Linked DNA regions of Alligator mississippiensis. The protein of the gene in region 2 purifies or fractionates together with the protein of the main gene of each other region. This does not show direct contact. Links are inferred from orthologs where the notes say so. Each region holds a gene or a part of one and is shown on either strand. Other genes may lie near its edges.

Region 1 (15,816 bases), on a different chromosome or scaffold from region 2:
TGCACTGCCTCTGCATGCACTGCTCCACTTTTTTTTCCTGCCATAGTTTTTTTTGACCCCTGGATATCCAGGGGTCAAAAAACCCCTCTGCACTGTTTTCCTGCAGCACAGAGAACAACTGAATGTGCGGTATGTGGCACCACAGATGTTTCTGCGGTACCACATACTGCACAGCCACACTCATCTGGACATGGCCTATTAGGACAGAAAAGAAATCACTGCAGTACAGGTCTCGAATAGGTGTTTACAGAAACAGCAGACATAGCAATCAAAAAAAAAATTAGAAGTGCAGAGTACTGAAACAAGAAAAGGTCTACAGAGGCTTGTTACACTCTCATGACTCCAAAGCTGAAAAAAATTCTAATGTCTTTGATTAGTGAAAAGCGCTTGAACCACTGCTAATCTCGTTAAAAACATACCTGAAATTTGACCTTTTTTCTTGGAATATTGTCATAGGCACGTATTTGCTCTAAAATATTTCGTACTTTGGGGTTAATGTTTGGCTTCTTCATTACTTCTTGAATCTTCTACAAAAAGAAAACCAAAATTACTAAGTCAGATGAGTAGTTGAGTTGATTAGAAAATTCCTATAAAAAAAATCCACAGTACTTCTAAGTAACAGAAATCACCTAGCATACACTCTAGTATTTGTTATCTCTTGAATCACAGATTATACTTAGAAACTTCCATATGTAAAAGGTGGACAAGAAACATCAATTTGTTGGTTTTGATCTAAAAATTATGAAGAACCCAAAGTGATTTTAATGAATCATCTACACCAGTTACAAGTCAACTGTAACACTGCTGGTGAACTAGCTTGATAGATGAAGTTCAGAAATAGCATGACCCAGGTAAAGTTAAGCTAGTATGTAGATATAACTATATATTAAATGCATGCAATTTGTATAACTTGTCTAAACTTTCAGATAATGCATTAGTTAGAGAAAAAAAAATTGACCAACTATGATTTAACATAATTTTCAAATATTTAAAAGAAAAACAAATGACATCAGAAAGGAAAATTTTGTTAAACTAAGAGGAGGAGGTATACTACAAATAACCCTATTTTTCAGCTTCATATGTTTATTTTCAGGGCTGAAATAGAAGTGCCTCTAAAATCCTCTGAAGAGTTTCAAGAATCTTTTCTTAATAGTTTAGGTTGTAATTTTTTTCCTTCACAGAAGGAATTAAGTTCAATTTCCTAAGAAACAAGAAGCATCTTGAGTAAGAGATTAATGTATTCCCTTCAAGCACAGAGTATACCACATTTGCAATATTCACAATGTTACTGTCAGCACAGTAACTGCAACAGAGAACTGGTGAGGCACATTTTTACAAAAATATTTGGTTTGTCTCCTCTTCATAACAGATCATTTTTTCAGGACACAAATTTAAAGTGAAACATCTGTATATTAACTCCCTCATATGAACCAGTATTTACATTTTTCAAATACGAGCTGCTTTGTATACTAAATTTGTGTCTTGTTTGCATTTATACCTAGCAGGATATACTGAATATATATATATATATATATATATATATATATATATGAAAAACAAGTCTTACTTGAATCCACTCCTGCTGTTTTACATCGCCTTTGTTAGTTTTTGCGTCATAACCTTTGCCACCATATTTCTGATCTTCACTTATGCACTTCACGTGGTTCTTATAATCGTCACCCCTTTGATATTTAAAAAAAAAACAACCTTTTAACATAAAACCTGTATATAATATTCTGTCAATGAATCCAGCTTTTCAAACTCAACAGTATTTACAAAAACAGAGAAATAGAAGCCATGGAAAGCCAAACACTACAGTAAAAAATTAAAACCCAAATACCATTAACACAAGCATGTGTAACTCAGTATGTAAATGGTCCCACTAATGCCAATGGAACTACTCACATAAGTATGGTTCTACATGCTTAAATACATGCCTATTTTCACCATTCAAAGCACTTTCTTAGCTTCTAGCGAAGTTATCTGAAGAGAATACAGAGTCTCTAAACAATATAAACAAAGCTTTCTATACCATTCATAATTATATGTTGTATACAGTATATGTGGTATGCATATTTATTCTCAATAAAGCCTGCTAGAAAAGTGTTTGCATTTTTTATTCTTCTGCACATTTAAAAATTCTAAATATTTATAGAGTAGCATTCACAATAAAGATATGTTCTCAAGTTAGAATAATAGCTTAAGAATAATTACATATAAAAAAATTCTAAATTAGATTTTTTTAAACAAGGTTTGGTCTAGGTAGTCTCCTGATCAAGTTAAAATACTTAAAAGGGGGCTTGAAAATGTAAACCATTGGAGTGGTGAACTTACTGATATGGACCTACCATTATTCCACTTCCTTAGTCCCGTTGTTACTTTTATCTAATTTTTACTTTTAAAACTGGAAAGCAGACTGCAATGGCATTTTTTTCAGAGATCTGGATATTTACAAGAAGAGCTGTAACTTTGGAATTACAGGATTTCATAGCAATTCTCCAGTAACCACAGCATCCAACAGTTTGCCCCAATAAAAAGATATAAATACTAAAACTAATAAAGGAAAAGGAAAATCTAAAAATTACAACTGTTTCTCACCATACAGAGATAAAAGTTTTTGCCATCACTAGGGTAAACAAAAGAAAAAGACAGTAACAAAGTGAAGAGAGGGTTCCCTTGCCCAGAAGGAATGACTAGAATGTGTAGATACATGATATTAATGTGCCTGAATAAACTCTGGCGCAGTTTGCACTGGAGTCAGCTGCTCCCAGGCACAAAGTCTTCATGTGCACTGCAGCAATTAGAGCCAGGGCAGTCTCAGACATATGTGAAGATTCTGAGCCCGGGGACAGCTGACCTGGAGCAGGAGGTCTGGGGGTCAGCCCCAGGCTCTGGAGGGGCTGGACACTGTAGCACCTGCATGCCCCAGCCAGCCCTGGTCACAGTCTACACGTTTGAGTGCACGCAAGTACTCTGCCATAGTACAGTGGAACCCAGAGGTGGGCAAAATGTGGCCCGGGGGCTGGATGTGGCCCACCAGGCCATTTTATCCGGCCTGTGGGGCCCCTAAAAAAATTTAGAAAATTAATATTTATCTGCTCCTGGCTGCCTATCATGCAGCCCTTGGTGGTTTGCCAAAACTCAGTAAGCGGCCCTCTGTCCAAAATAATTGCCCGCCCCTGGCATAACCTCATAAATCTGGCATACTCAGGACTGAGCACCTGCCAGAAATTTGAAAATTCCATTTTTTTGAAACTGGAGTGGCGGTTGCTGCTCTGGCTTCAAAAAAATGGAAATTTCCGGCAGTTGCTGTACTTCTGTTGAGCAGTACTAGCCTATCACAGAATTAATTAGTTTTCTGTACCCTAATATAGGCACACGTGTAGACTGTGATGCTTTACTCAGGAGTTAGCGTAAATGTGCCCACTGTCACTAATCCACTCCAGCCTGTAAAAGGGGAAGGTGCTATTGTCTCTTTCAAGTTCCCAGCTTTGGATCCTCTTGCCCACAAATTGGTATCAATGATTGCTTGTGCTGTAACTCTTACCCTGCCCAAAGTACAGCATGCAATTAATGCTATATTTGCACTCAGGATGCTAAAGTAGAAGAGTAAAGAGTAAAGCTACCTAAAGCATCTCCTGCTGCTGCTACCAAGCAGGTATTGTCAAACAAATACTTCATTTACCTACCAGAAATCTTTGCCACAATCCATACAAGAAAGGCACTGACACCTTCTGCAAATATTTACATGTTTTTCAACTTGTCCTTTCTTCACAGATTCTCCACATGCATTGCATGTGAAGACTACCATTTTGGATCCAAATAGCTTCTTCTCAAAGGCAGTTACAGTAAAATCTTCAAAACGCTAGAGAAAAAATGTATCATCTGAATTATTTAGGAAAAATATTTTAAAAACCCACACAAATGTATTGTATATTGATTAACCTATCATTTTCAAACCTATGAAACATTTATTATGAGCAAGCATTGCCAGTTATTTGCTGCTCTACATAATTCTCATTTTTATTTCTAGTTTATTTCTAAGTGGGTACAAGACACCTTAATGTACAGTGGACCGGTCTACTGTGCATTAGTACCTCATGGCAAAAACCATGCTAATGCGCAGAACTCATCTACTGCGCATTAAGCATCATAAAAAAACATTCGTCTTTGCTACTGCACATTAGTGCAGCTACTATGCCTTTATCTAGTACCTCATATCAGAGGTATTAAACTTAACGCGCTGTAGCAACGGCATATTAACGAACATGTAGACATGTTCCAGTGATGTGATGTGAACTAACTCTAAAGACGTAGTTTCAAATAGAAAACTGCAACAAGCGTATAACCTTGAAGTTACCAATGATTCAGTTTTTGCTTCTCTCTATGCATCAAGGTGCCTATATCTGTATAGTCTCCCTTTATAACGTTTCTCAAATACGTCTTTCCTCTCCAAGGCTGAGTCTGCCTGTAATCTAGAGGAGTTACCTAGGTTAGCTCACTATCTACACACTGGTATCCCCAACTCTCCCTCTCCAGTCTTCCTTTTCTGCCAGTATTATCTCTTTCTGAACACATATCACTAGATCACTTTTCTGCATGAAAATCAAACTCTTTTTATTCAAATTTAAGGCTCTGTTCTCTGCTCGCTTGTTCATGCACTGTTCTTCACCTTCTCATTTTAATGTTTTCTTCCCCCTCACTCTTGCCCCCATGCCTTTTTCCCCATGCTCCCAATAGCTAGCACATCAGTCTTCCCAAAGGTCCTACATCCTCAGTCCAATTCAGCTCCCTCCTCCAGGACCCCTTTCTTCCACGTGTTCCCTGAAATTACTGTTAGCTCTGCCTGCTGCTGAACTAGTCCCTCCTGACAGCAACCAGACTTGCACGATGCATTACTTATCTGCGACTTGCTCCCATCCTGCTTTCCTTGCCTATACTGGTGGTTTAACGTTTCTGTGGTTTCGACCCAGAATGGTTTTGGGGGTAAAGAGCTGCGTCTTTTAACGAGATACCCAGGTCTGTGGAAAGTGTGTGTCTGCTACACAAATGCGCATCAAGTCACAATTAGAGGTGCAGACAGAAGTGACAATTTTCACCTGATCTGGCCACAAAAAGCAGTTCGTAGTTGTGACCAAACACAGGTGCACGGCTGCAAGACTGTGTGAAAATCTGACCCCTCATTGCACGAGGTATCAAGTAAAGATATTGCAAAATGTAGTGACTTTTGTAACTTGCCTCTGCACAGCTCCCAGCATATCCGTTTTCAGAATGGGAAAGGAAGCAGAGAGTTTGGTCCTGGGGGGTTTTAACCCTCCTCTGGAGGCTGGGTGAGGTGTATTGCAGCCCCCCTGAAGTGGAGGGGGCCGCAATTTACTCACCCCACCTTTCAGCACCAGCTGGGGGAGCTCACTCCTCTGCTTTTCCCCCTCCCGGTCTGAAAACATGGAGCAGGGTCATTGCAATGGGAACCCAGCTGCAGGCTCCCAGCCCCCAGCAGGACGCTCCTTCCTCCTGAAACCAACAGCAAACTTGTGTTTGGTCCAGTGTAACGCTGTAGCTCAGGAAGTTTTGCAGAAATCCTTCTGAGCTACAGCTGGGAGCTGCACGTCTGTCCGCACCTACAAAAACGACTGAGCTCAGACCTGGTCGGCAGCTGGAACAACCCAGCACGGGCCTGTCTCTACTGCTTCCCTCCAAGGCACGAGTCCGATCCGCCTCAAAACCCTGCCCTTCATTCCCACGTGCTGGGATGGGCCATGGACCACCTCCCGCGCGGGCCCATGCCAGGAGCGGCCGGGCGGGCAGGGCGAAAGCCGGGCAAGAGAGAGGCTGGGCCCGCGGCTCTCAGCGTACCTGCTCCCGGGTCCTGCGGCGCGAGCGGCCAATCGCGCACTCAGCGGCGCCGACACACGTGCGAAGCTCCGACGGCCGCTCTCAACTCCCGGCGCGCGCCAACGACTCCCCGCCGGGCGGAAGCGGAAGTGGAAGCGCCGGGGCCGGAAGTGCGCGGAGGGGCCGGGGCCGAGCCCGAGGCGGGGATGGGGTAGAGCGGCGGTTGGAGCCGGTGAGGCGGGAGGTGTTGCGTGGGGGGGAGCTCCCGGGGCCTCGGATTCCAATACCCGGGGCTGGGACTGCCGCAGCCCTGGGCCTGGCCGCTCGTGCCCCTCGGCCTGCGCTGGCTGCCTCCGCCCCGCGGCGCCGTCTCCCACGCTTCCCTAAGGAGCTGGAAACAGGCTTAGTAGCGTTGGGCGAAGGCGGGCCTGCCCCGCCCTGGCTGTAACCGCCGTGAGAGCGCAACGGCTGATGGCTTGGGACAAATCCGGTGGAAACGGGGTGTCTTGTTCCCCTAGGGCGAGAGGGGCAGGGCCGGGAGAGCTCGTGTCACAGCGTCGGGCCTCCGACACGTGGCACATAAGGGACCTGTCTCCCCGGGAAATGGCAGCGCTGTGCGATGCGGACAGATGTCCTTAGGAGTCACCTGAGTTTGGTTAATACAGGGTAGACCTGGGAACAATTTCTAGTGGTTGGGGAAAACCGCTTTGCTGGCACATTGGTTATGTGTAAACTTCGCAGTTTCTTTCCCAGTGGGAAGATCTTGGCTTTACCCCCCGCTTTATGGAAACAGGAGACTCCTTCCTAGCTTGCTCCTGTGGCCATGTGATGAAATTCGGGGGCATCCGAACCCCAAGTCTCTGGGCTTGGGCTTGTACGTAGGATGTCCACCAAATCTTTAGGAAACACCTGAATTCCCAGGTGGGGATGGAGGATGTTTTTTGCCAGCAGTAGGGCCACATATGGTTCTTGACCGCCTCATGAATTTGGAATTGATTTGGTTGATTTGGCTTGGGATATGAAAACTTTTTCTAAAAAAAGAAAGAGAAGCTCTTCTTGTGTTAAGTTAAGGCATCAAGACCTTTTTCAAAACGTGCCTCACTAAGATTCATGGTATGTCTTTCTGATAAAATCTAATTTGTATGCCTGTTCAAATCATGCGTGGTTACAATCCCATCTACTTTGTAGTATACCTTGGGCAGATGCTCACTGTTAGGAAATACTGATTTTTAATAAACATGTTGATGTCTGTAGTACGCTCTTAGTGACTAAAAATTCTCCTTAAGTTGCCTACATGTCATGCTAAATTATGAGGAGCTCTGTTGCACTGGGGAGAGAGAAACTAATCATTGCATTGCATTGCATTATACCTTTTAACCTATTTTTAAACTTGGTCTGCAGGAAGATGTAAGCTGCATTTCTCTTAAGTATTTTTTGTCTTGTTTTGTTGTAGGTAATTAAATGGTGCTCTAGCATGGATGCTGTTGCTAGCCATAGTTGTCATCTTCTCCAGCAGCTACATGAACAGCGTATTCAAGGGCTTCTGTGTGACTGCATGTTGGTGGTAAAAGGAGTCTGCTTCAAAGCACATAAAAACGTATTAGCTGCTTTCAGTCAGTATTTCAGGTACTCCAACCTTTACTGAAGCAATAAACAGGGTACCATAAGTTGATGTTTGAGGAAAGAATTTTTCTGCTGGCTACTAAATAGTAATGTTGATACCTTATCACAGTTTTAAGGGAAAAACTAGGGGGTCTTAGATTGCTTGCTTGCACCTAATCTGCATTTTGTATTTGCTTTAATTAAAATGTGCATCATTCCAATTTATTTTGTAGCTGATCATAATTAGGTGTTACCATGTTTTTTCATGTCCAGTGCATCCTGGCATATAATACAAACCTTGTTTTTGACAGGTAGAATGAAGAGAGAGAGATCTTTCCTTATAGTAGGTAACTGAATAGCAGTAGTTAGGGAGCTGAGCTTGTTCATTGTTCTGCTCCCTGTGCATTACAAATTTTACTTTGTTTCACTTGGTAAGGGGCAAAAACTGCTCTTACTATAGTTCCTTTGTCTAGGGCACACTCTGGTTTCTAGCAAGCATTTTTTTGGGGGAAAGTGCATTCTGTGTGCAGGAAATGATGGTAAAGTCTTTGAGTTGCAATCATGATTTTGGTGCTTACAGTGATTAGCATAATGAGGCTTGAGTCTCTGGCTTTGGTCTGCTGCCAGTACTGTACTGCAAGATAATGATAATGATGAGACTTCTTTTTAAAGTTCTGTGTGGGACACAGTAAGGGTGACCAGGCCAGATATGGGATTTAGTGGCTGAGGCCTCGTAAGATTATCCACTTTTGCTGTTTGTTAGTGTTAGAAAGAAAATTGATCTGGAAGCCACTTTTAAGTTTTTCAGAATTTATAGCCTAGATTTATACACTGAAATTTCTTAATCTGCAGGTCAGTTGATGCTTCCAGAACTTTTAAGTGAAATTAGAATGTGCAGTGAGCAGTAACTACATTTCAAGATAAGTTTCTAGAGGTGCACTGATGCATCAATCCAATAGGGGATTGGCACCGATATAAAGAAAATTTATCGTATCGGAAATTGGTCTGATGTGGCTAATAATTTGGGTGATAAATGCTTGTGTGTGTGTGCAGCTGTAACACAGCATGTAGGCAGCAAGGAGCACAGCCCAGCAGCTTGGAGAGCTGCATGCAGCTGGTAAATTTGGTGTGGTAGAAGGGGATGAGGGAGGGAAAGGGGTGGGGGCAGATCAAGGTCCCCGTGGTGAGGGAGCAGTGGGGTGGAGCAACTGCTGCCCAGCCAGGGTGGGTGCAAGATGGAGCCACGGCTTGTCCCAGGGGGGAGGGGATGCGGCTCCTGCTGCTGCGCACCGCTCATCTGGGAGCTGCCAGTCCAGTGCTAGTCGGGCATTTCCCACCACTTGTCGGGGGTGGGGGGACGACACACATGTGCCCCCAGATCTGCATGGGGCAGGATGGAGTAGGCTGGGGCTGGGGTTGCATGGGGCTATTCCTGGCCTGTCCCGTGCAAATGCGAGGGCACGACCCCAGCCCCCCATGCCTTCTCGGACGAGTGGTGGGAACTGCTGGACGAGCGGGTAAGTGCCAGACCAGTGGCTCCCGAACCAACAGCATACAGCGGTGGGAGGCCTCCCCCCATTGTGGCCCCAGGACAAGCTGCGGCTCCATCCCACACCTGTTTCACCCCAGCTGGGCAGTGCTTGTCCCAGCTCCAGCCCCACTCCTTCTTCGCTGCAGGGGCCTTGATTTGCCCCCCCACAACCCTTTCCTCTCCCTTTCCACCACACCAGAATTACCAGCTGCACGCAGTTCTCCAAGCTGCTGGGCTGATATTGAAAATCAGATCAGTATCTGCTGATGTGCCTCCTTAAAAATCGGCTGTTGGTATCGGCCCTAAAAATCTCTTATTGGTGTACTGCTGAAAGTTTCTTTACCTGCCATAATGATTGGGCTCTGTGTTTGCTCTTCTTCTCTTCTTGCATCATCTTCAAAATGAATATGACAAATTTACATAAAATAATAACTGGGAGAAGATAGATTTAATAAGTAAATAAGGGAAAGGAAAGCTGAGATCCAAATATTTTCTGTTGTTAGAGAAATGCTGTTATAAGCTCTGAGATTTTCAAAGTAGTTGAAAGGAGTTAGGCATCCATCCCATTTTGAAATGCAATGGGACTTAGATATCTGATTCCTTTAGCGGGTTTTCAAAAGACTAGCCCAAATAAATGAAAAATATTTGCAATAAACTTAGGCAGTGTGGATTAGTTAGGCAGTGTGGATTAGACCGAACAGGATTTAGGCACCATGGTACCTAACTTTATGGCTGCCTGGCCCCCAGACTATCCTAGAACCCTTAGTTAGGTGCTTGGTTTCTATACAGTGCACAAGGAGAGTTAATGCCTTTGCAGTCATCCAAAGAAACCCTGCAGTATCTGGGAGTTAGCCAGAGCTAGCAAATAGAAGACGTTTTGAATGGGCGCATTATGAAGCCTCTCCAGAGCTTAAGCACTTGTTAAGCGCTCCAGGTAGGTGCCTCCATCTGTTTGTAATTCAGAGTCCAGGACACTCTTCTGAGGGTAAACACAAATGTTTTTTCAAGGAACTGAAAAATATTTACTGTTTTGTTTTTAAAATGCAGTTGCTAGAGAAGAAAATGGTGATTGTATTGAAACCTTACAATGGTATCACTTAATGATTCAAACTCTTTCCAAGAAAGTGGAAAACTTAGGTTCAATACCTTCTTTAACTTAAGAGGGCTCCAACCCACATTTCCCATCTCCAGGAGACTGGCCTAACCCATGCTTTAAATCCAGTACTCCTACCTCCTATGACAGTGTCCTAACCAGCAGGGTACTGGAGAGAGGAGGCATAGGTTTAAACTACCTCACGACTGAAGGCGCTGAAGCCTGTTCTCTGCTTCCTGTGTGAGTATTATAACTACTAGGCCAGGGATGTCAAATTCATGAGGCCCTGTTGGCACACAGGACTGGTCTGACATGTGCCATGTGTGGCGTAGAAGTCCAGTTTAAGACCCATAGGCAACACTGTGGGCCAAACGACAGGTTTCTGTGCGCTGGATCCAGCCAGTGGGCTGTATCTTTGACACCTCTGTACTAGGCTACTTCACAGAACAGGCAGTATCAACTTTTATTTCTCCTTTGGCTGTGTTTTATAAGAAAGTGGTTACAACTGCATTTGATAAGGGACCATATTCTGCTGGTAGGTTTTCTTGAAGCATGCCAAACTAAACTGGATTCAAACAGAGGGAAGCCTAGTTCCTGAATCCCCATAGAGTTTAGATGGGAGGCTGCTCAGGCTGGGGCTATTTTGTACAGCCACAGAAGCAGAATGTTTATTGTCACTGGAGAGGTGTCCAGTGAGATTAGGAGCAGATAAGTGGGGATTTTTGAATCATAGTGCTTGATTTAAGCAGAACTGAGGCTCCTAAATTCTTTATGGGATCTAGTCTTATGCAATGAAATGATGCACAGCCTATAGATGTGGCCAGAACTTGAAAAAAAATTGTCAGGTAGACAAGGGAATGACCTAAGCAGGGTAAGTTTCAGTAAGGTTCATTGGGAGTGTGTGATGGAGAAGCTCAGTCAGTTCCTTTAAAGGGTAACATGCTAGCATTCTTAACAAAGTAGGCTCTGTTTGTCACTTTGTTTTGTAATAGTGTTATAGATCTGTAACCTACTTTGCTCACTCTCCCTGATTCGATTTGGCTGAATCTGAAGATTCGGCCATAGACACAGCTTTAAATGTTTTTCTACATACCTCGAGGTACCAGGCACGGCTTGTGAATGCTGCAGTGGTGGGGCAGATGGAGCATCCCACAGGAGTGCAGGGGGACCCCCTGCGTGCTTGGTGGCAAACCCAGGAGTGGACCGGAAGTATTTTTGGTCCACTTCTGGGTCTGCAGGGGGCCCCCATGTGCCCCCTAGCTTGGCGATTGGCCACGGGGGGACCCCAGGTATCCCCCCAGACCCAGGGAGCACCAGTTGCCAAGCTGGAGGGGGACTGGACGGGGACCCCCTGTGCGCTCCCTGGTGGACCTGGAAGTGGACCAGAAGTGCTTCTGGTCCACTTCTGGGTCTGCTGCTGAGCGCGCTGGGGAGCCTCTTGCACTCCATCTGCCCCAGTATTGCAGCATTCACAAGCCGCCTGGTACTTCAAGGTACGTAGACAGAACATTTAAAGCTGTGTCTATGTCTGAATTTCCGAATATTTCTGAATCTCTCCAAATCGATTCAAAAGGTTCCGATTCGATTCAAAGAGATTAAAGGGTCTCCTGATTTGATTCGGTTTTGGAGATTCGGCCGCTGAATTGGGTCGAATCTCAGCCAAATTTGAATTGGGGACCGAAGCTTCGCACAGCCCTAGAGTCTACCCAGCACTATGCATAACCCATTAATACAATAATCAGGCCAATGTTCTAAGCATGAGAGAGGGGTAATTATAAGGCTGGGTGGGATATTCAGAAGTAACACGTTAACGTCTTCCACAGTAGTTGTGTTAAAACTTCCATTTACTTTAAAGAGGGTAGAGTTCTGAAAACTACTCAACATCTGCTTAATCCTTCTTATAGTACTATAGTGCTGGTGATTTAGTCCCATGCTGCATGTTATATTATTGATTCATATCAGTTTGGGATATTAGCCGGCGTGTTCAATTTTTTTAAATAAAAGCTTTTGTAATCTAGCAGTTTGTGTGTCTGTACATTATAAAGAATTATGCATTGCTTTGTTAGGACCCTTTTTCAGAATTCTTCAGGCCAGAAGAATGATGTCTTTCACTTGGATATTAAAAATGTAGGTGGCATAGGCCAGATTTTGGACTTCATGTACACTTCTCACCTTGATCTTAGCCAGGACAATGTACAAGCTATGCTGGATATTGCACAATGTCTTCAGGTACAAAATGTGCTGAACATTTGCCACACTTTTTTAAAATCCTCAACAGCTGTAGAACAGCAAGCCAACATGCCTTGTAATAATGTATTTGCTTTGCAAAGTACTTTGGCTACAGATACTAACTGTGTGAATGATACTTACGGAGCTACCTTATTGCATGAATGCTCCTCGGATGCACAGACTAGCAAAGTCTTGGATGACCATCCTTCCCATGGATCACAATCTCTTAATCTTCATACACCCTCAGGTGATGTACAAAAACAGCCGCAGGACTCATTAGATGGTAATTGCACAGAGCTTCCGTTTAAACAGCCAAATTACTACTATAAACTGCGGAACTTTTATAGCAAACAGTTCTACAAACAGAATGCTTGCTCTAACCATGAGAGGATAACGGAATCATCTTTTGCGTTCAATGCGTCTACAGAAATTAATGCATCTACAGAAATAAATGCAGTGGAGAGCAATTCTTGTACTGTCAGTCACTCTGAATGTATTCTGGAGTCTTCTGATCACTTACCGTCAAACTTTCTGGTCCAGTCCTTGAATGAATCTGTTCCAGATCCGGGTTCAGAAAGCACATCCTTACAGCCTACTAAACAGATGCGTCTGAAGAAGGCAATTCATCTTAAAAAACTAAACTTCTTAAGATCACAAAAGTCTGCAGAGCAGTCATCTGAGCCTAAAAGTGATGAAACTGGTAAACCAAAGGCAATTGAATCTGAAAATGAAAATGCCATGGGGATGGCAAATATCAGTGCTGTGGCAGAAAAAGAAACTGAAGATCTAGTTAATTCAGAGAGTTTTGAACAACCTGTTGAAATGGAAAGAGCTCAGGGTCCTTCGGAACAAGAACAAGAACAGTCACAGATTCTTCAGTCGCAAAGGCAGTATTCTTGTGAATTATGTGGAAAGGCTTTCAAACATCCAAGCAATTTGGAGCTCCATAAGAGGTCTCATACAGGTACAGTTGTTTAATGTCTGTAAACCAAATATTGAATTATAGATTAAAGAAAAAAGGAAAGTGACATCCAGGCTACCTCTTAGTTTGAAAGATTCTTGTTTCATAGGAATCCACTTAAAAAATATATTTTTCTATGCCTAGCCATGGAAGGACAAGGGCAGCAGTAAGAATATATTCAGTTAAATTGAACCTAGAATTTTTTCTTTATTGGAGTGTTTTCGCTTATTTTGGTTTCTAAAGGTTTCCTACAAAAGCACATTGTCTAATATTTTCATGAAACCTTGTAACTTCGCCTTGTGTTTTAATGGAGAAACTTTTCATACAGCCAGGGGCATATAAGGACTAAGTATACAATTGGAAAAAGCATGGATGGATAGAAATAAAGGAATTAAAATGGAGATGGATGAGGAAGCATTTGTGACTAAATTGCAGGAGATGCATCTCTTTCTATAATATTTCACACAGGGCTAAGGACATGACATGGGATTGGAACTGTATTGTTCTAACTGCAAAGTGTATGTTGTAATTAACTTATAGCCTCTCTCTAGAGGGCAAGTGTAGAATCTGGCTGGCATGGACAAATACATTTTGTAAAGAAAAAAGTTTTGAAAAATTTAACTTGTAATTTAAAAAAAAAATCATTTAAGTAGTCTGGTTTTTAAGTCTTGCACAGATTGGTTTCTAAAAACTACTATTTGCTTTTTTTGCCTTTTGGTAAAGTAGAAAAATAAATCCAACCAAATTAGTTGATTGTTGTTATGAATAGTCATTGTAACCAGTACACAAAACTAGGGCTACAATAAAATTGCTTGAGAACTTTTTCATTGGGCTTCTGGCTCTCTTGCTCACCCTTTCATGTTGAATTCTAATGGCAAATAACATTTTTCATATACACAGGTGTTGATTTTGAAAGGTAATACTAATTGATGAGAAAATATGCATTTTTGCAGATTCAAAATGAATGTGGGTATTGTTTTAGGTGGCATTTATTTCTTTAATGTTGTTTGTTTTTTTTTTTTTTTTTTAGTAAGATGATTAGTAGAGCAATCCTTCCAGTCCCTGAAACTTTGAATTTTTTTCTTTTGTTTTGTTTCTGCCCCACTCCATATCAACCCCTGAGAGTCCTCACCTTTTCTATGAGTACTGTTGAATAGTCATATATAATCTTGGTGCCACTTTTTACAGTGGTGTCATATGAATACTATATTTGCCTTTTATAGGTGTCTACAATGTAATGGACAATTTAATTAAGATGTATTATGAACGCTGTACTCCATGGAATATATTGCTATAAGGCTATAGTTATGCAAAATGCATAGTACAAGAAACAAAATATGCCCCTGATCCAGGTATCTTGCAATTTAACTTTACAATATAATTTCATACATAATGCAACCAGGGAAAACCAAATGATATACACTAGTATTGCAATTGCTTGCAATTACTTTACATGGTTGCTTAAGTTTATGATGGCGCTCATGTTCTAGTCTCATTTGAAATGCATATATTTATGTATAGTCCCATAATAGCCCAGTTTACTTCTTCAGCTGAACATATATTAATTTTGACTATGCAGAACATTAATGAGGCTGATCCCATTAGTTTTTCTTTTTTTGTGTTGCTGTCCTGTACCCTGCTAATTTACTAAATTGAGTTTCGGTTGAGGAATGGAATCTCCAGTTCTTTTCATAAGTCCAACTCTTCCAATTCTTGTTTTGCAAACTAATAAAACATAGCAGCATTGTGCTGTCATATAATATTATTCTACCAAAGAGTGAAACTCAGAGGTTGCTGTGTTTTCATGGTTAATTCAGATTCTTATTGTAGGCTCCTGTGGCACCACAGGTGCAGTAGGACAGTGGGAAGTACATTATGGAATTCCTGTGCTTCTGTGTCCGATTTAAGTTAGTGGTATGACAGTTTTGAGGTAGAAAATAGTACTACAATACCATGCCAATTGGTTTAGGCATAAGGCACGAATGTGGGGGTAGCCAAAGCAATAGGGTGTGTTTTTTAAACAGGTAGGCAAAGGAAGAGAATGTTTACCAGCATGAAAGTGAAAGTTTGATAAATGTTTTCTGAAAAGATTACTTAACAAATAGGAACCGAGATAACCAATTTTTGTGTATGGGCTGCATGCACATGTACCTGCTTGTCCTCTAGTGTGACTATGCATATTGATCATACCCTATTGCTGAAGTTGTGGGGCATCCTGCTAATAAACTAGCAGTATAAGCAAATCCTCAAAACTGCTTCCATTTGCCTCAGGCCATCTTAGTCCATGGATAGACATTCAGTTCTCCTGGGAGAGTCACTGCTCTCCCAGGAGAAACCAGGAACGTATGGATGGTGTTTTCTCCCAGAATAAAAATGGCCACTCCAGAAGAAAAACAACTTGGGAACAACCAGGGTTAAATCAGTCCCTGGAGAGTTTCTCTGGACTAATAGCAAGTGTCCATGCTGTGGCTTCTCTCAGAAGAGAACACAGACCTTCAGCATTTCCTCCCCCCCCCCCCAAGCACTCAGACATTGTGTTGCTTCTTGGATTCTGCTGTTCCAGTA
Region 2 (15,830 bases):
AGCCAGGCCCAGGGAGAGACAGAGAGAGAGACCCTAAATATATCACCCAGGAGCCCTAGAAGGGGAACTAGGCCAGGGCAGGTAGGTGTTGGTCCTAGGCATGACCAGAAACTGCACCCTGCCAGGGAAGGGTGGTCTGGTGGGGCTGTCTGTGGCGGGACAATCCCCCAGAAATGCCAGGCCAGCTACCTCCCCAGTGAAAGGTGGGTAGGGGCACCTGACAGCCCCAGCCCCCGCCACCTGGTGAGTTGTTAAGACTAGAGGGTAGTGGGGCCAGGTACGCCTAAGGGGAAGCACCTGAGCCCAGTGCGAGTAGTGGGAGACGGGTATGCTTGGCAAGGAACACCCAAGCCCCATGTGGGGGTGTAAGGCCCCAGTGGCCCTAGTTGGAAGGGGCTGTAGTAGTGGGGCCCCAGAGGAGGGGTGGTGAGTGGCAGGCCCTACAGTGAGGGCACACGTGGAAGCCCCAGGAGGGGGCAGCGAGGCCAAGATGGATCTTCGGATGCCTGCCGCTATAGCCGGGCCCAAGGCTGACTGATGTGGCTCAGTGGGAGTTATGGGTGTAAAGGGCAAGTAGCTGGCCCCAATGAGTGGGCAAGAGTGACAAGGTACCCAGAGAGGTGCCTGGGGCAGAGCTCTCCCCAGGACAAAGTGAATTGGCTGGTCACCATTCAGATGAGGGTCACAAGAGGCTGCATGCCAGCCCGCCAAGGAGTGTGAGTGGCCTACGTGGTCGCTCAACGGAGCAGGGCAGTTTGGGTATGTCTCAGTTAGGGGCAGCATGCAAAAGGCCCAGCGAGAGAGGGTGAAGTCCGAGAGGCCCCAGTGAGAGGGGGGAGGTATGAATGAGGCCCGATGAGATGGAGTGAAAGGATGAATGCACGAGGCCTAGCAAGGGGCTGAGTTTGGCCCGGCCAGGAGCCAGAGCAAAGAGCAACTCGAGGATGCCATCCATGAGGCATGGGACACTAAGGGGAGGCTGGAGGCATGTGTACACCCCTAGGCATCGGAGATGTAAATAGGCAACCTCCCGCATTTTTACAACCAGTATCTTAACAACAAGGTGGGGCAGGAGAGACCAGGCAGACTGCCCTAGACAGGTAGGTAGGTAGGTAGGTCTCCCAGGGCCGGTATGGTGACCAGGCCCTGGGAGATGCCCTTTATTGCAGACACTCTCAGGCCACGTGCTAAAGTGAGATGCATATACACCACAAGATTTGGACAGCTCCTGTTTAGAAACCGGTTTCCTTGACCCTCTGTAACTTTGACATGGTAAACAAACCAAAATCCCTTAGAGACAGGTCAGAGAGGTTCATCTCTGGATCTGGGCTTCTGGTCACAAGTTTGTGACAAAAATCACGATTTAGATTGAAGAGCAAAATAGCAGTTTTGATAGACAGTTCACATATCTGTTCTTGCAAATTTTCTGGTCTTTAATCATAAAAAAAAAAAAAAAAAAAAAAAAAAAAAGACCTTAACATATTCTGGTGACCTCAACCACACTATAATTAGAAACCAACAGATGTTTGACTCTGATTACACCCAAAACCAGAGGTGTAATCAAACCCCTAAACCTAATTCAAATCCCTCCCCCTGCCATCATGAAAGGACAAATTCAAAAAGGCACTGGACACAATTTCCTGATCCTGTGCCATCTTCGACAACATTATCAACATGATTTTTTGGTTAAACTTAGAGTTGCAAGTTGTTTTATGCTGTATTCCTATCCTCGAGCCCCTCTCCCAGAGCCCACAAGACCTTCTCATGTTCTTTATGGCCTCAGAAATTTAAAAATGTAAAAGTGAAATTGTCAAGAAAAGGAGAATATAAGGAGCCTACATCACACTACTGCTCAGTATTGTTACCTGGGGGCCAAGGTTGGGGACCATTGCTTTGAGACGTTGTCTACACCCAAGACTTGCATCATTTAAATTATGTTGGTTTGATGTGAAACCACCAGTTCCTTCTTACTGCAAATACCTTTATGGCAGCACAGTTAATTTGTTTCCCCAAACAGAAATAGCTTTTAGCTTTAAGGCACCTTGACACATGTACAACTGCACCCCTAGTTATTCCTTTGGTTAAAAAGAAGCATAAAAACGATCTCTCTAGCTGGAATCCTACTAGTATAAAGAACTGTGTTCGTACCAGGTATAAGAATTATGAACATGCAAGTAGCCAACATTATTCCCCATCATAAGCTATTTTGTCCCAGCTGAACAGAAAGCCATACAGTGCTCAAGTGTTATTTCTTAGGTTGTGGCAGAGTTGCCTCTTCAATTTGGAACAATTAAATTTGGTAAAAAGAAGAGGGAGGCAATTCTTCATGAGAGTCTGGGGTTTTATGTCCAGCTTTGGTCCCAGAGAGCAACAAAGCATGCCTAGGGTGGGGAGCAGAAAAAAAGAAAAAAAGTGACTGGAGCATTCAAGAACAAACCTGTTTGGTCCCAATTTTTCCTTAAGCAACCCATTCTCCACAGCTTCTTTCCAGAACAGGTCAAAGGCACCTTCCTTCAGAGAAACACGCAGCAGATCCAGCCCCACGCTTGGCAGATTCTTGTCCTTCTTCTCAGATCTGGCAGCAGTCCTCAGAACTGCTACAAGCCTAGAGGGGAAAAAAAGGAAAATTGCAAGAGGACAGAAAATCAGAGTTGTTAATCCCAGAAGGAGATTGCTGAAGATCCATTCCACCCATGAAACTGCTTTCTGGAGCAGACCAGGACCTGCACTGAACCCGGACAAATTGTATGTGGCGAGTGCCTCCCAAGATGATCGGCACCCCCAGCCACACTGGAGATGGACTAACTCCAAACACCCTTGTCTCCCACTAGATTCAACAGAAAACACAGGTGCCCTGCACCCCTTCATGTCAACACCTGAACGTTTCCCACTTGAAGTGGAAAGGATGGGGACATGGCATCTTTGCGCCCTTCTATAACAACTCACTTGGGAATGTTTTCCGGGGTTACGAGGGTGGATGAGCCCAGCAGTTTCTTCAGTTTCTTGGGCTGAAGAACCTCAGGGAACTTCTGTATGGCCACAAGCAAGAGGTGCAGCTGCTCCGGGGAACTGAAGGCTGAAGTGAGGTCAGCCTGTAAAGTGCTGAACAGGACCTCCTCAAACACAGCCTGAGGGGTCTGAACAGCAATGCAGGTGAGACAGCAACACAGCAAGTGAGGCCTGGTTTGTACGTAGCTACAGAATGGTACAACTATTTACACCAGTGGTTCCCAGCCTTCCCCCACGACCCGCTACTGGGAGCAGAGTGCGGCGGCAGCCCGGGGAGCTCCCAGCATGCGGCGCGACTTGTCCTTTGTGAGCAGCACTGCCCCAGCAACCCTCATCTGGGTTGCAACCTGAGGTTGGGAACTGCTGATCTACGCGTAACAATAGATTTTACCAAATCAATTATAGCAGGATGATTATCTTAAAAACAGGTACAGTTCTATTGGTACCAGCTTATTCTTCTCCCCCTGGAACGACATACCTAGATAATGTAATTATCTGACTATAAAAACTCCTTAACAGTTGAGGAAAGGCAGGCAGTTACCCCAGTCTAAACTACGCTGGCAGAGTTAAAGGAATATAAATGCTGCAAGCTGAGAAGACATCGAGGATATGCAACACTAGCAGAGGATCCAATGGGAAAAGGAATACCCATCCTTTTTTTGCTTTTTAGGAGAAAAAGATTCTGTATGGACAATACCATAAAAATATTTTATCAGCATACTGATGGCCAGGGATCTGGGCTTTCTGTTCACCATGGGAAAATGCAGTACAACCCCCATCTTCTCATTTTAAGGAGAAAAATGCAGGAAACAGTAGGTTTCCCCTCCCAGAGTTTCAGCCTGCCAGGAGCTGGGGATGCCCTGTGCACGAACACATGCACATGGCTGCCAGGCAGCCGGGAGAGCAGGTCCCTGCAGAAATGCATGGCTGCAGGGCCTGGGTGGGGAGCGGGACAGAGCCACAGGCAGCTTGTCCTGGCGGTGGTGGGGGAGCTGGATCCCTGCCACTGTGTGCACTCATGGCAGGGGCATGGGGGCACGTCTGTAAATTCACTCTCAGAATCTATACAGAGCAAGGACAAGAGCACACAAGTCACGCGGTGCTCCTTATGCTATACCCACTTCTCCACTCAGCTCCACTTCTCAGCCTTGCTTGCCTCCACCCTACCCCCACCAGCTCAGATACACTGACCCTCTACTCTGACGATCAAAATTCAATATTGAGCACGCGCAACACACTGAATGCTTGTACGGGCATTGTCTGTGCACCTATATTACAGATAAACAACCTGCATCACCACGCACAGTTGCCAATGTTATTTTCTGTAAGCACAGAGCGCATCGGGACACTGGACAGAAACGTTCCTATCAACTACAGTGAAGCTGGATCAGTCCCAAAAGAAAAGGCTCGCACACTCTGAAAGTCAGCTAAGCTGAACAGAACAAGACACACTTCTTCCAGAATAAGTGCCCAAGCATGTAGCTATTCAGAATAGCTACCACACTTTAAATTCCCACTCTAACAATCTAAATTAAATATAGATACATTAAGGTGCAGGGGAGGTAATGCCACAAACAAAAAACTCCCAAACTGATGCGCCACGTCTCCATTACCTCCGAGAGGATGTCAACAAGAGCTTTCCTAGGCAGAGTTCGGAGGAACTCCGGGCGCTGTGACAGGCTCTGCAGAAGCTGGACACAATGCAGGAGGGTCTCCTGGTCCTAGAAGTTAACAAATAAAAAGACAGAGAAACACAGATAAAAAGCTATATAGTGAGGCTACAGCTGAGCCCAGGTATCTGCTCTGAGTGTGCTAGTTTTAATAATAATAAAACTTCTCAGTTGCTCCCCAACGTACACATCCATTCTTTCTGAAGCAGCATTTCCCATCTGTGACTGACAAGGTATTCCCATGCCACCAGAAAGGAACATGTTTCAGGTTCTCGGTCCTGTCTGTGACAGTTCTTTTATTTCCGTCAGAGAACTTGAATGCATCTTTGGTAGCAAACATGGGTGAATGGGGATGGAAGAGTAAAGGAAGATTGGATTGGATTCCTTCCCTCTAAAAGGGCCATTCCCAACAGCTTCTCCTGAATACATGGCCGCTTCTGATTTCCAGATAAGAGAAACGCAAAATAATGTGGAGTCACAAAACCTGTGATTTCAGCTCTCTGTACCCACTATCTGTTTTAGGTGATCCCAATTTCCAAAGCATCAAACTTCTCGGCTGCCTTTCAGGCATTATTAATCCTCCTTAAAACCCCTGTGAGAGAGAAATATTTATTATCTCCTTCTTCAGATTTGGAATAGACACACCAAGAATAAAGCTGAGATTCCTAAAAGTGGTTTGCCCCCCCTAATTCCCATTGAAATAAATAGAAATTGGGCATCTAAACACTTCCAAAAAATCTTGCCCTAAGCTACCTGTTTCAGGTTACCTAAGAGGCCTACGGTTAAACAATGAAAGGAACTAAACCCCGAGCTCTCATATCCCAGACCGCTGGCTTGACTAAAGCACAGGCTGTCCGTCCACTTCTGGTTTTCTTTTGCACTTTGCACAGCATCAGCTCCTCTGTCGACATGACAGTAACGTTACCTTTACGAGACGGCCTGACTGGAACAGGGCCAGAACCCCAAAAAAGTTTCCGAAGGCAGCATTTCTCAAGAGTTTCTGAAAAGAAGACAACAAGCCTGACAATTACATATGCAAAAAACATGACATTTCACACTCAAATTGGAGGAACTCCAAGTGCAGCAGCAAATTGCTTAGGACCTGGTCTTGAATATCTTTCCAGATGAAGGGAATATACTTTCCTGCAAGCCACACACACACACAAGCCTCCTGGGTGGGAATTGTCCTTGCAAGTCGGGGTCTGATGCCACGATCGCTCCCGATCCCAACAGGCATCGGTGGCAACGTGCAGGTGCATGTGCACCCCGCGAGTGTGTCTGCGGGCAGTCTGCAAGTGCGCGGGTCACCGCCAACGCTGCCGGTAGCGTCCGTGGGCGGTCCGCGATTGCCGCGGGTCACCGCCAACGCTGCCGGTAGCGTCCGTGGGCGGTCCGCGATTGCCGCGGGTCACCGCCAACGCTGCCGGTAGCGTCCGTGGGCGGTCCGCGATTGCCGCGGGTCACCGCCAACGCTGCCGGTAGCGTCCGTGGGCGGTCCGCGATTGCCACGGGTCACCGCCAACGCTGCCGGTAGCGTCCGTGGGCGGTCCGCGATTGCCGCGGGTCACCGCCAACGCTGCCGGTAGTGTCCGTGGGCGGTCCGCGATTGCCGCGGGTCACCGCCAACCCTGCCGGTAGCGTCCGTGGGCGGTCCGCGATTGCCACGGGTCACCGCCAACGCTGCCGGTAGTGTCCGTGGACAGTCCGCGATTGCCGCGGGTCACCGCCAACGCTGCCGGTAGCGTCTGTGGGCGGTCCGCGATTGCCGCGGGTCACCGCCAACCCTGCCAGCGGTGTCTGCAGGCGATTGCTGACCACTGGTCAGCGCTCGCTTGCCACCCCCCCAATCCCAACAGCGCCGCGGCAGCTCCCCACTTGCATCCGCCACTCTGGGGAGCATGCGGCGTTCGCGCCGACAGGTTCAAAACCATTCAAAACACCCTGTCGTCATTTATCTTCGAGGAAGCCTCCCCGAGGACAACGGATGCTGGCAGGAAAACAGCGGGGGACTCACCTTTTTGACCCTGTCGAGGCTGTGTTTTTCTCGGATCAGCTCCAGCACGGAGCCCAGGGAGATTTCCTCCATCGCCTGCAAGACCTAGGAGGGAGGCAGGCAGCGAGTCAGCCTCCTAGAGACCCCGCTGCCCGCCCGCCCGCCCCGGCTCCGGACCCACCTGCGCCAGGGCCAGGCTGAAGCCGGGCCGCGCCGCCTCCCGCGTGGCCGCCAGCCCGTCCACCAGGCGCCGCAGGGCGTAGCGCAGCTCCTCGTCCTGCCGAGCAAGCCAAGGGCGCCGCGTTACACGGAGGGAGGGAGAGAAGGAGGGGGCACCCCCGGGACACCCCCGCCCCGCACCGCACCGCACCGTGCCGCCGGCCCGCAGGTAGCGCAGCAGCCCCTCGGTGCCCGCCAGCCGCGCCGCCTGCTCCGGCCGCGCGATGTCCCAGAAGAAGTCCAGGAACTGCCGGCTCTGCTGCAGCTGCGGCCCCGGCCCCGAGCCGCCCTGCCCCGCCATGCCGCCGCCGCCGCCGCACGTGGCCCCGCCGCGGCCGCCCCTTCCGCCCGCGCCGGCCTGCCCCGAGCCTTCCGGCAGCGCCAGCGCCGCGCTCCCTTGCACGGCCCGGCCCGGCCCGGCCCGGCCCGGCCGCGGGGATTATTATGATCGTGATGACCATCGGGATCTCTGGCGATGCTAAAAGTTTGCTCCCTTGCGGGTGTCCCCTCCTCCCCTGCAGCTGCAAAACTGACGCGGGCACGAGGGGGTGGGTGAGCTGCAGGTCCAGGGGCAAGCAAGACCGGGGAAAACAATTATTAAGCAAGCTTTCGGGTTCAAAAAGGCTTCATCAGGCTAAGGAAGTTTCGGCAGGCGGTGTGCTCTATACGACTATCATTGATCGAGTACAACATTCTGGGTTATTTTTGGTGAAAATAAGGTATCGGGCTTAGGTTCAGGAGCAAATCCCCCATTTACGATATTGTTTCCTATGGGAAAATCGGTTCCGAGTTACGTTTCGATTTAAGACACGGTTTTCAGGAACCAATTGCGTCGTAAGTCTGAGGACTGCCTGTAGTTTGAGAAGGGTCACCAAAATGATTTACAGCGGGATAACTTAAAAATGGGTGCAGCGGTATTGGTACCAGTTTATTCTCCACCTAGAACAGTGACCCACCAAGATAAGGTGCCTTTAAAGTCAATTAATTACATCTGCCCTTGAGGGAAGGCAGCCCAGTCTGCCATAAAGCAATGACATGAACGACGCGTGCCCCCGGAGGCTGGGGGGCACAGGGACCGCCTGCAGGCGGTGTTGGCAGCCGGGCAGGCCGAGTGGGGAGCTCCCAGAGGTGGCCACGGCGGTGTCGGGGGCTAGGCAAGCGCTGGCTGGCAGTCGGCAACCATCTGCAGACACTGCTGGTGGTGTTGGCAGCAAGGGGGGCCGTGGCAAGGAGCGAGTGGCAGTGCTTTTCATAGGGAGTGCACCGCCGATCTGAGGAGGTACACGTGCACCCGCGTGCACCCCCTACATGTCGCCAATAAGCAATGATGTGGGGTAGACTCTTTAGAAAAAAAAAATTATTTATGGGTGCGCCAATAGAGATTTGGGGGGCCAATACCGATAGCCAATTTTTAAGGAGGCTTATCAGCAGATACCAATCCAATTTCCGATACAGCTGCATGCAGCTGGTAAATCTGTTGTGGTGGATGGGGAGGGGCGGGGGGCAGATCAAGGTCCCCCATGGTGAGGGAGGGAGTGGGGCTGGGGCAGGTGCTGCCCAGCTAGGGTAGGGCAGGTGTGGGATGGGGGGCATGGGGGCTCCCGTTGTTGTGTGCACCCTGGGAGGGCATGGGGTGTGCGTGTGCCCCACAGATCTGCATGGGGCAGGGCAGGCTGCAGCTGTGGGCTGGGGCTGCACCAGGCTCTTCCCAGTGGGGGCTGCAGTAGGTGGCTGCCACGGTGCTGGGAGGGGCTATGGTGAAATTTGGGGTGGCTGCAGCCCCCCCACGTAAGCCCCCTCCCAGTGCTGTCACCCCCACCTCCCCAAGCACAGCCTGGCCCAGCCCCAGGGGGAAGAGCCCAGCACAGAGCCAGTCCACAGCTGCAGCCCTCCCTGCCTGCACCCTGCACAGACTTGATGGCACACCACCCGTGCCCTTCTGGGCACACGCCCCCCCCCATTGGTGGGGCACAGCAGTGGGAGCTGCCCCCCCTCTGTCCTGCACCCCACCCTGCCCCGGCTGGGCAATGTGTGCCCCAGCCCCACTCCCTCCCTCGTTGTGGGCCCCCCAGCCCCTTCCCTCCCCTCTCCCCTTCCACCACAACAGAATTACCAGCTGCACACAGCTCTCCATGTTGCTGGGCTGTGCTCCTCGCTGCCTGCATCTGTGCGCATGCACAGGCATTTATCTGCCCAATTATCAGAGACATCAGGCTGATTCCCGATACAGTTCATTTTCTTTTTATTGGTGCCGATCCAATATTTATCGGTGCACCTCTAATATTTAATTTTTCTGGAGTTGTTTTGTCTTATTTTCCCAAAAACTGGGGAGTGACCAAGATTTTGAAGACTGAAAGTGCGTAACCTGGACTCTCAAATGGCAGCTGGATATAGATGCTCATAGATTCAGAAATTGTAAGGGGCCAGAAGGGACCTTGGAAGATCATCAGGTCCAGTCCCCTGCACCAGAAAGGAAAGACAACTGGGGTCTGGTGACTGGGGTCAGTCTCCTCTTGAAGATCTCCAGAGTAGGTGATTGCACTACCTGTGGAGGGAGCTTATTCCAGTCTGCACATCCTGACTGTGAAGACGTTTTCCCCTAATGTTGAGTCTGAAATGGTCTTCCAGGAGTTTGTGGCCATTACTCCTGGTTTACCCCAAGGGTGCCCTGGTGAACAGTTGTTCACGGAGCCTTTGATGTACTCCCCTAATGTAGTGTGGTAAGCTACCAGGTCCCCTCTGAGCCTTCTCTTTTTCAGGCTTGAGTCCCAGGTCCCTCAGCCTTTCCTCATATGTCTTGCCTTGAAAGTCTCTGATCATATGGATGGCCCTTCTCTGGACTCTCTCAAGCTTTTCCATATCCTTGTTCAAGTGCACTGCCCAGTACTGGACGCAGTACTCCAGCTGCGGTCTCACCAATGCCAAGCAGAGTGATAGAATCACCTCCTTGACTTGGTTTCATCTATGAACTTGGACCCACATCCAAATCATTGATGAAGATGTTGAAAAGCACTGGACCAAGCATGGACCCCTGAAGAATGTCGCTGACCACTTCTTGCCAGGACAACTCAGGACAGTTCATTAGGACTCTTTGAGGCTTACCCCGCAGCCAATTTCCTACCCACCTGACCATCTTGGAGTTAAGCCCACAATCCTCCCATTTTCTCATGAAGACATCATGGGATACCAGACCAAAGGCTTTTTGGAAGTCAAGGTATACAATGTCATATGGAAAAGCTTCCCTCAAAAAACAAAATCTTTTGCATTGTGACAGCTTAGTATTGTCTGGGATGGGACACTAGGCCTATTGACACAGTCAGATGGGGGAAAATCAATAAGTTGTAGTTCTCTATAATAAAACCCTAAACCACGGTCCAGTAGAAAAAACAAATCAATAATGCAAATGACACACTTTGGAATATATTAGGAAACCCTTACTACAGTCAGTCCATTATCTTCCTGCCCACAGCACCATTAAAAAGAAAAAAAAAGTGATCTTTATTAACGACAGAGGAAGCTCATAGAGTAAGAAGAACCACCAATAAATGTGTGGCATTGGTTGCTTTTCCTTTTAAAATATCACTTTATCTCAGGTCAGTTGCAGTTATCTAAAGAAGAGAGAGCAGCAATGGGGTCTGCTGTATGAAAGAACCACTTTTGATCACCTTACTAATAATTGCTAGGCTATCTGTGATGAACTTAAAAGAGATGCTGACAGAATGCAAATAATATTTTAAGACCAGCTAGCTAAAAGTACATTATTTTTAAACGAAATATCCTGATTGTGCATTGCTTCTGATTTTGCAAGTATCCTGATCTACCTCTGACAGATTATTAAAACTGAAATCACACGCAGCACTTAGGGCTTAGCTTTTACCATTTAAGCCCTGGCATTGTTTTCAGCATTTCGCTGAGTTTCAATTGCGCATTTTTTCAAATCGTTTTCCCGTTCCCACATACAGGGCACAGCACTGCCATGCTTTTCTTGCAGACAGCGCAGGAGCTTGTTTGCATCCAGTACTTTCACTGACATCTTTTGTTAAAAGAGACTAAACCACATTAATCTGAAATCAAGAAGGCAGAGTTGATTTGCACTTTGTAGGCTAACCAGATATATATCTAACCAGATACAGACTAAGGAAAAGCTTGGGCTAGATAGCTGGGTACACACACACCTATGAATTGAGCTTCGGCTCTGGAAATTTGTGCTAAACACATACGCTGTCATTTGATTAATATATGTATATGTATGCATACACATGTACGTGTGTTTTTATGCATCTCTCTCTCTTTGGCCAGTCTGTAAGGTACAAATGCCTTCGACATTTTTTAAGAAGAGCCAAAGACAGTGCTGCGAACACACAGGCTGTAAAACTGGGTTTTATTCCCCTTGGAAACCCCTAATCACCCTGAGCCTGGTCTAGCTAGACCAGTCCTTTAGCACAGCGGGTCTCAACCTTGTTTGTACCAGGACCCACCATGGAAACATCCACGGCCAGTCCAGACCCAGTGAATAATTTAGGTAGAAAACACATGGGGCATGGGGGTGTGTTTGGGGCACAAAGGTGTGGGGGGGGCACAGGGAGGGGCAAGGGTGTGCGTGGGGGGGTATTAGGGAGTGTGGGAAATGGGGGGTATGTGTGGGGCACAGAGTGGGAGGGTGTGCGGGGCATGGGGGGGGTGCGCAGTGCATGGGGGGCCATGGGGGTGTATGTGAAGGTCATGGGGGGCTATATGGGGGAGGGCCAAGGGGTGGGGGGAAGGGGGACACACAGGGGTGTACATGTGGGGCACATGGGGCGTGGGGGACATGGGGGTGTGCAAGGCATGGGGGCACCAGGGAGTGTGGGGGGATGTGCAGGGCATGGGGTGGTGTGGGGGGCATGGGGGACACAGGGTGTGTGGAGGCATAGGGGTGTCAGGGGGACATGGGGATATATGTGTGGGACACAGGGGTGTGTGGGGGGGACTTAGGGACCGTATGGGGGCCACTAGGGTGTAGGGGGGACGGGGAGAGGGGGTGCAGGACACGGGTGTGACACACGGAGGGGGAGACCCGCCAGGCCGCAAGGTAAGAGCCGCTTCCCCCCTTTTTCCTCCTTGAGAGGAGAGCCCGCTCTCCCCTGCCTCTCGTCCCTTCGCCGCACTGCCGGGCCCGAGCCGCGGTGCTGTGGCGGGGCCCGGGGCCCCCGCGCTGGGCTGGGCTGGGCTGATCCGTGGGGCCCGGCGGCGGGCGGCCCGGACCCTTGTGACGCGCGGAGGCCCCGCGCCGCGCTGTGACGCTCCATGGCGCCGCCGGGCCCGACCCACGTGGTGGTGGGGGCGGCGCGCCGGCTCAGGCATCGCGCGGGGCAGCCCCGGGAGGCGGGCGGCGACGGCGCAGGCAGTGCGGCGGGCAGCCCCGCGCTGGCCCCCTATATAAGCGGCGCGGGGGCCTGCGGGCGCGGCCCTGTCACGCTCGCGCGGGAGGCGGCGGCTGAGGTGGCGATGGCGGACTTCGATGCCTACGACGATCGGGCCTACAGCAGCTTCGGCGGCGGCCGCGGGTGAGCGCGGGCCGGGCTGGGGTCGGGGGCCGCGCGCGGCGGTTCCTGCCGGTCCCCGGGGAGCCCGGGCCTAGCGCCGGGCGGGGCGGGCAGAAAGGCGGGTTGGAGCCGGGCCGCAGCGCAGGGGGAGCCGGCCCCTCCGCGCCGTCGGGTGGCGGGAGCGCCTGGGCGGTGGAAGCAGCCTTTGGTCTGAGCGGGGCCCCGGCGGAGAAGAGCATTGTGTGGCCGTGCCCACCGGGGCGGTGGGGCTGCAGGTCTGGTCGCCCCTGCCCCGAGGCAGCATCCTCCCTAACCAAACCCGCCCGCACAAGTCCTTGCTCAAGCACCCGGATCCAAACCGGCTGCGGATGGAAGACTCCCCCGTTAATTAAATGCTCTGCGTGGGACGCCTGCTACGTTTGCTCTCACTTTTCACGTATAGGATCTAATTCTTGCTGGGACGAGGTTATTCTTTCCCCATGTTGAATGGGGGACGGATGGACACGGACCTTCATCTTGGCTTCGGGTTAATGTGGTGTTACTAAAACCAGAAATTCGAGTAACGGTGGTGTTACTACTGCCCTCGCCTTGGATTCGAGTAACACCCTCATCTTAGACTCAAGTAAAGGTGGTGTTACTAAAACCCTTCTCTTGGACTTGAGTAAAGGTGATGTTACTAAAACCCTCCTTGGATTTGAGTAAATGCCAGGTTATTAAAACTATACCGTTGAACCTGTCTCTCAGCTGCAAGGCACAGTTAAAACACCACAGGTTCAAGCAGGGTGACAAGGGCAGTTGGTGTCCTGCTGCTGCAACAATTGTTAAAATAGGCTGTGTTTTAAAATAGGAACAAATTTGAAAATAGCTTGAAAGAATAGAATTTTTAAAATTAATTCCAGCAACTCTGGATGTTGTAGAGCAGCGGCGAAGGCGCTTGGTGAACAAAAATTTCTGTGAAAAGCTCAAGACATAACAATTTAAGTTAACCTAGCGTTAATGTGTTTTTTTCCCCTCAAATATTCCCAACAGCTGCCGTGTTCCCAACGCTTTGGCCCTTGACTCATTAGGTACTGAGTGTAAGTTGCATTGAAGGAGCTGTACTTTGCACGTCTGTAGAGCGTGTGGCTTGTACAGTACAGAGCCATGTTCGTGTGGGTCTGTGCAGACAAGCCAGGGGTCTGTCCTGAGGTAGTATTAAAATACAGGTCAGCTTTAATAAACTAAGGGCTGCAGTGGAGGCAGTGTATCTTTCAAGCAAAGGGCAGATTTTACTTTTTGTTTTGGTCATTATTAAAGTAGAAAATAATCAGGGAGATTCAGTAAGTATCTAGTAGGCAACCATCAATACTCTGGGTCACGGTGAGTGTGTAAAAGGTCTAGTCGGGTGCCTGATGAGTCTGCTTGTATGGAGTCCTGTGACCATCACACCAAGGTCATGGATGCTTGTGCCTAGGCAAGAGCGCAGAGGAGGGGAGGCTGCCGAAGACCTGTGTGGCCCCCCCCCCCCCCCCCCCCCCCCCCCCCCCCCCGTTCAAAAGCCAGAGCGAGTCCAGACGTTCAGCGCCTCAATGGTTGTAGTTCAGGGCTGGGCAATTATTTTGGGTGGAGGGCTGCTTACTGAGCTTTAGCAAGCCATCGAGGACCGCATGACAGGCAGCCAGGGGCAGATTAATATTCCCTAAATTTTTTAGGGGGCCCACGGGCCAGATAGAATGTCCTGGCAGGCTGCATCTGGCCCACGGGCTGCATTTTACTGTTGTAGCTTGTTGCAGAGAACAGCAGGTAAGAACTGCTGCTGACTGCCAAATGCCTCAGCAAGGGTGCGTTTCTGTCAGGGTGATGTCCCTTAGCCTTTCTCCAACCAAGGAGTTACCCACAAGGCGATGGGGGCTAGGGTTTTGAGGTGCCCTATGCTCGCCTTACTCTGGAGGTTGCAACACTGTGGTTTTTTTAATAGGAGCTGCCCTGCCGTGCATTGCCCTGTCACGTTTTCCCCCAGCCCTCCAGTTAGATGGGACTTACAGTCCTACCCAGGACCGTAGTATCTAGGACACCAACTAATATCTATAGGTGAAGGAATATGTTCCCTTTGATTTTATTTTTCTTTTTCATAGAAACAAATACTTAATTGGAATGTAGTTAAACCTTATGCTTGACGCTTCTGAATTAATGCCATTTTCTTAAATTCTAAAGTTATTTCTTCCTTTACCGTGTCCATTTCAGGAATTAGCTCTGATTGGAGGATGAATGTAGCATGATCCATTGAGACTTTACCAAAACAGAAGCTATTATGTTAATTTAAGTCATAACACTTTGACCAATGGAAACTGTTTGCACTGTGTCAAATAGAAATACGTATGGAAACTGGTTTGATTTTCAAGCACAGATTAAAATGTAACATTGTTTACCATCTCAGATATTTGCCTTTCACTTCCACTTATCATTGTCTGTTGTGCTGATTAGTATCGTTTCACTGTTTGCTTATTCTTCCAAATGCTTATGACAGACAGGCATTGTCATTTATCTAAAATATCTGGGGCAGCACCCAACTGTACAGTACCTAGCTAGACTCTGGCTTGTAACTGGGAGTCCCGGTGCTGCAACAGCACAAGTAATAAATGCAACACCTTTTGCTACATAACAATGGCGTGGCAGTCTAATGCATTCCTGTAGTTCAAACCAGCTATCTCCTTAAGTCAGAGTCAGTGCTTCCTTTAGTTTGAGGAAGGTAGCCAGGAGTAGGAGTGTTGCTGCTTTCCCTTGAAGTGGTTTTTACTTTATTTGCATAATTGACCCATACAGGGTGAAACAGGTGAATAAAGTAGCCTGTTGAACTTGCATGACCTGTTGTTACGATCTAAAAATCATACAGAAGTCAAGCCTAAGAAATTCACTTGTCAAAACCTGTCAGGGATATCAGAAAAGTTGTTAGGGCCAAAAACAAAAATGCCTTTTTCAGCTCTAGTGTTTCTGTTTTATAAAGGGGTATGAGGAAGCTATCCTTCATTGCTTTTTTCTTTGTTTTTTTAAACCAAAGGAGAAATGAAAAACTACATGCCTAATGATGAAGCCTAGATTTATCAGTGTAAAATGTTAAAGTACCTCAGTTAGATGATGAGTATAGCAAACACCTTGGGCGCATCCATACGAGTGGGCACATGCATTTCCCCAGGGACAAAGAGCAGCAGCACATATTTGTGCCACTGCTTGTCTCCAGGGAATGCCTCACTCTGGTGTGGGGCAAATTGCCCTGGATGGTGTAGGGGAGGCTGGGGCCAGCAACTGGGCTGGCCCCAGCAGCCTTGTTTTGGGGGCCTCCCAGGACTCCGGCAGAGATGATCCGGGTGTGTGGAGCCTGGCTGGCAGCTGGAGCCAAGGCCCTTGCCAGCTAGGCTCCAGGTTCGGGAAGCACAT

The links.
Region 1: the proteins of MYBBP1A (region 2) and LYAR purify together in Homo sapiens (affinity purification with mass spectrometry; 3 studies listed by BioGRID and IntAct, with this or other methods). This does not show direct contact. The link is inferred for Alligator mississippiensis from reciprocal best matches to the Homo sapiens genes MYBBP1A and LYAR.

Annotation. Positions count from the first base shown.
Region 1 is NC_081825.1:28,819,522-28,835,337, reverse strand, and holds the start of LYAR (cell growth-regulating nucleolar protein), read right to left. Parts: upstream 5,957-15,816; 5' UTR 5,857-5,956; intron 3,866-5,856; 5' UTR 3,812-3,865; coding exon 3,690-3,811; intron 1,683-3,689; coding exon 1,568-1,682; intron 528-1,567; coding exon 420-527; intron 1-419. Other genes in the region: ZBTB49 (zinc finger and BTB domain-containing protein 49), read left to right, coding at 6,946-6,948, 7,289-7,461, 12,128-13,254. UniProt on the Homo sapiens protein: Plays a role in the maintenance of the appropriate processing of 47S/45S pre-rRNA to 32S/30S pre-rRNAs and their subsequent processing to produce 18S and 28S rRNAs. Also acts at the level of transcription regulation.
Region 2 is NC_081837.1:13,863,944-13,879,773, reverse strand, and holds the start of MYBBP1A (myb-binding protein 1A), read right to left. Parts: upstream 7,220-15,830; 5' UTR 7,193-7,219; coding exon 7,043-7,192; intron 6,950-7,042; coding exon 6,854-6,949; intron 6,778-6,853; coding exon 6,694-6,777; intron 5,680-6,693; coding exon 5,605-5,679; intron 4,731-5,604; coding exon 4,623-4,730; intron 3,138-4,622; coding exon 2,947-3,137; intron 2,606-2,946; coding exon 2,438-2,605; intron 1-2,437. Other genes in the region: EIF4H (eukaryotic translation initiation factor 4H), read left to right, coding at 12,379-12,437. UniProt on the Homo sapiens protein: May activate or repress transcription via interactions with sequence specific DNA-binding proteins. Repression may be mediated at least in part by histone deacetylase activity (HDAC activity).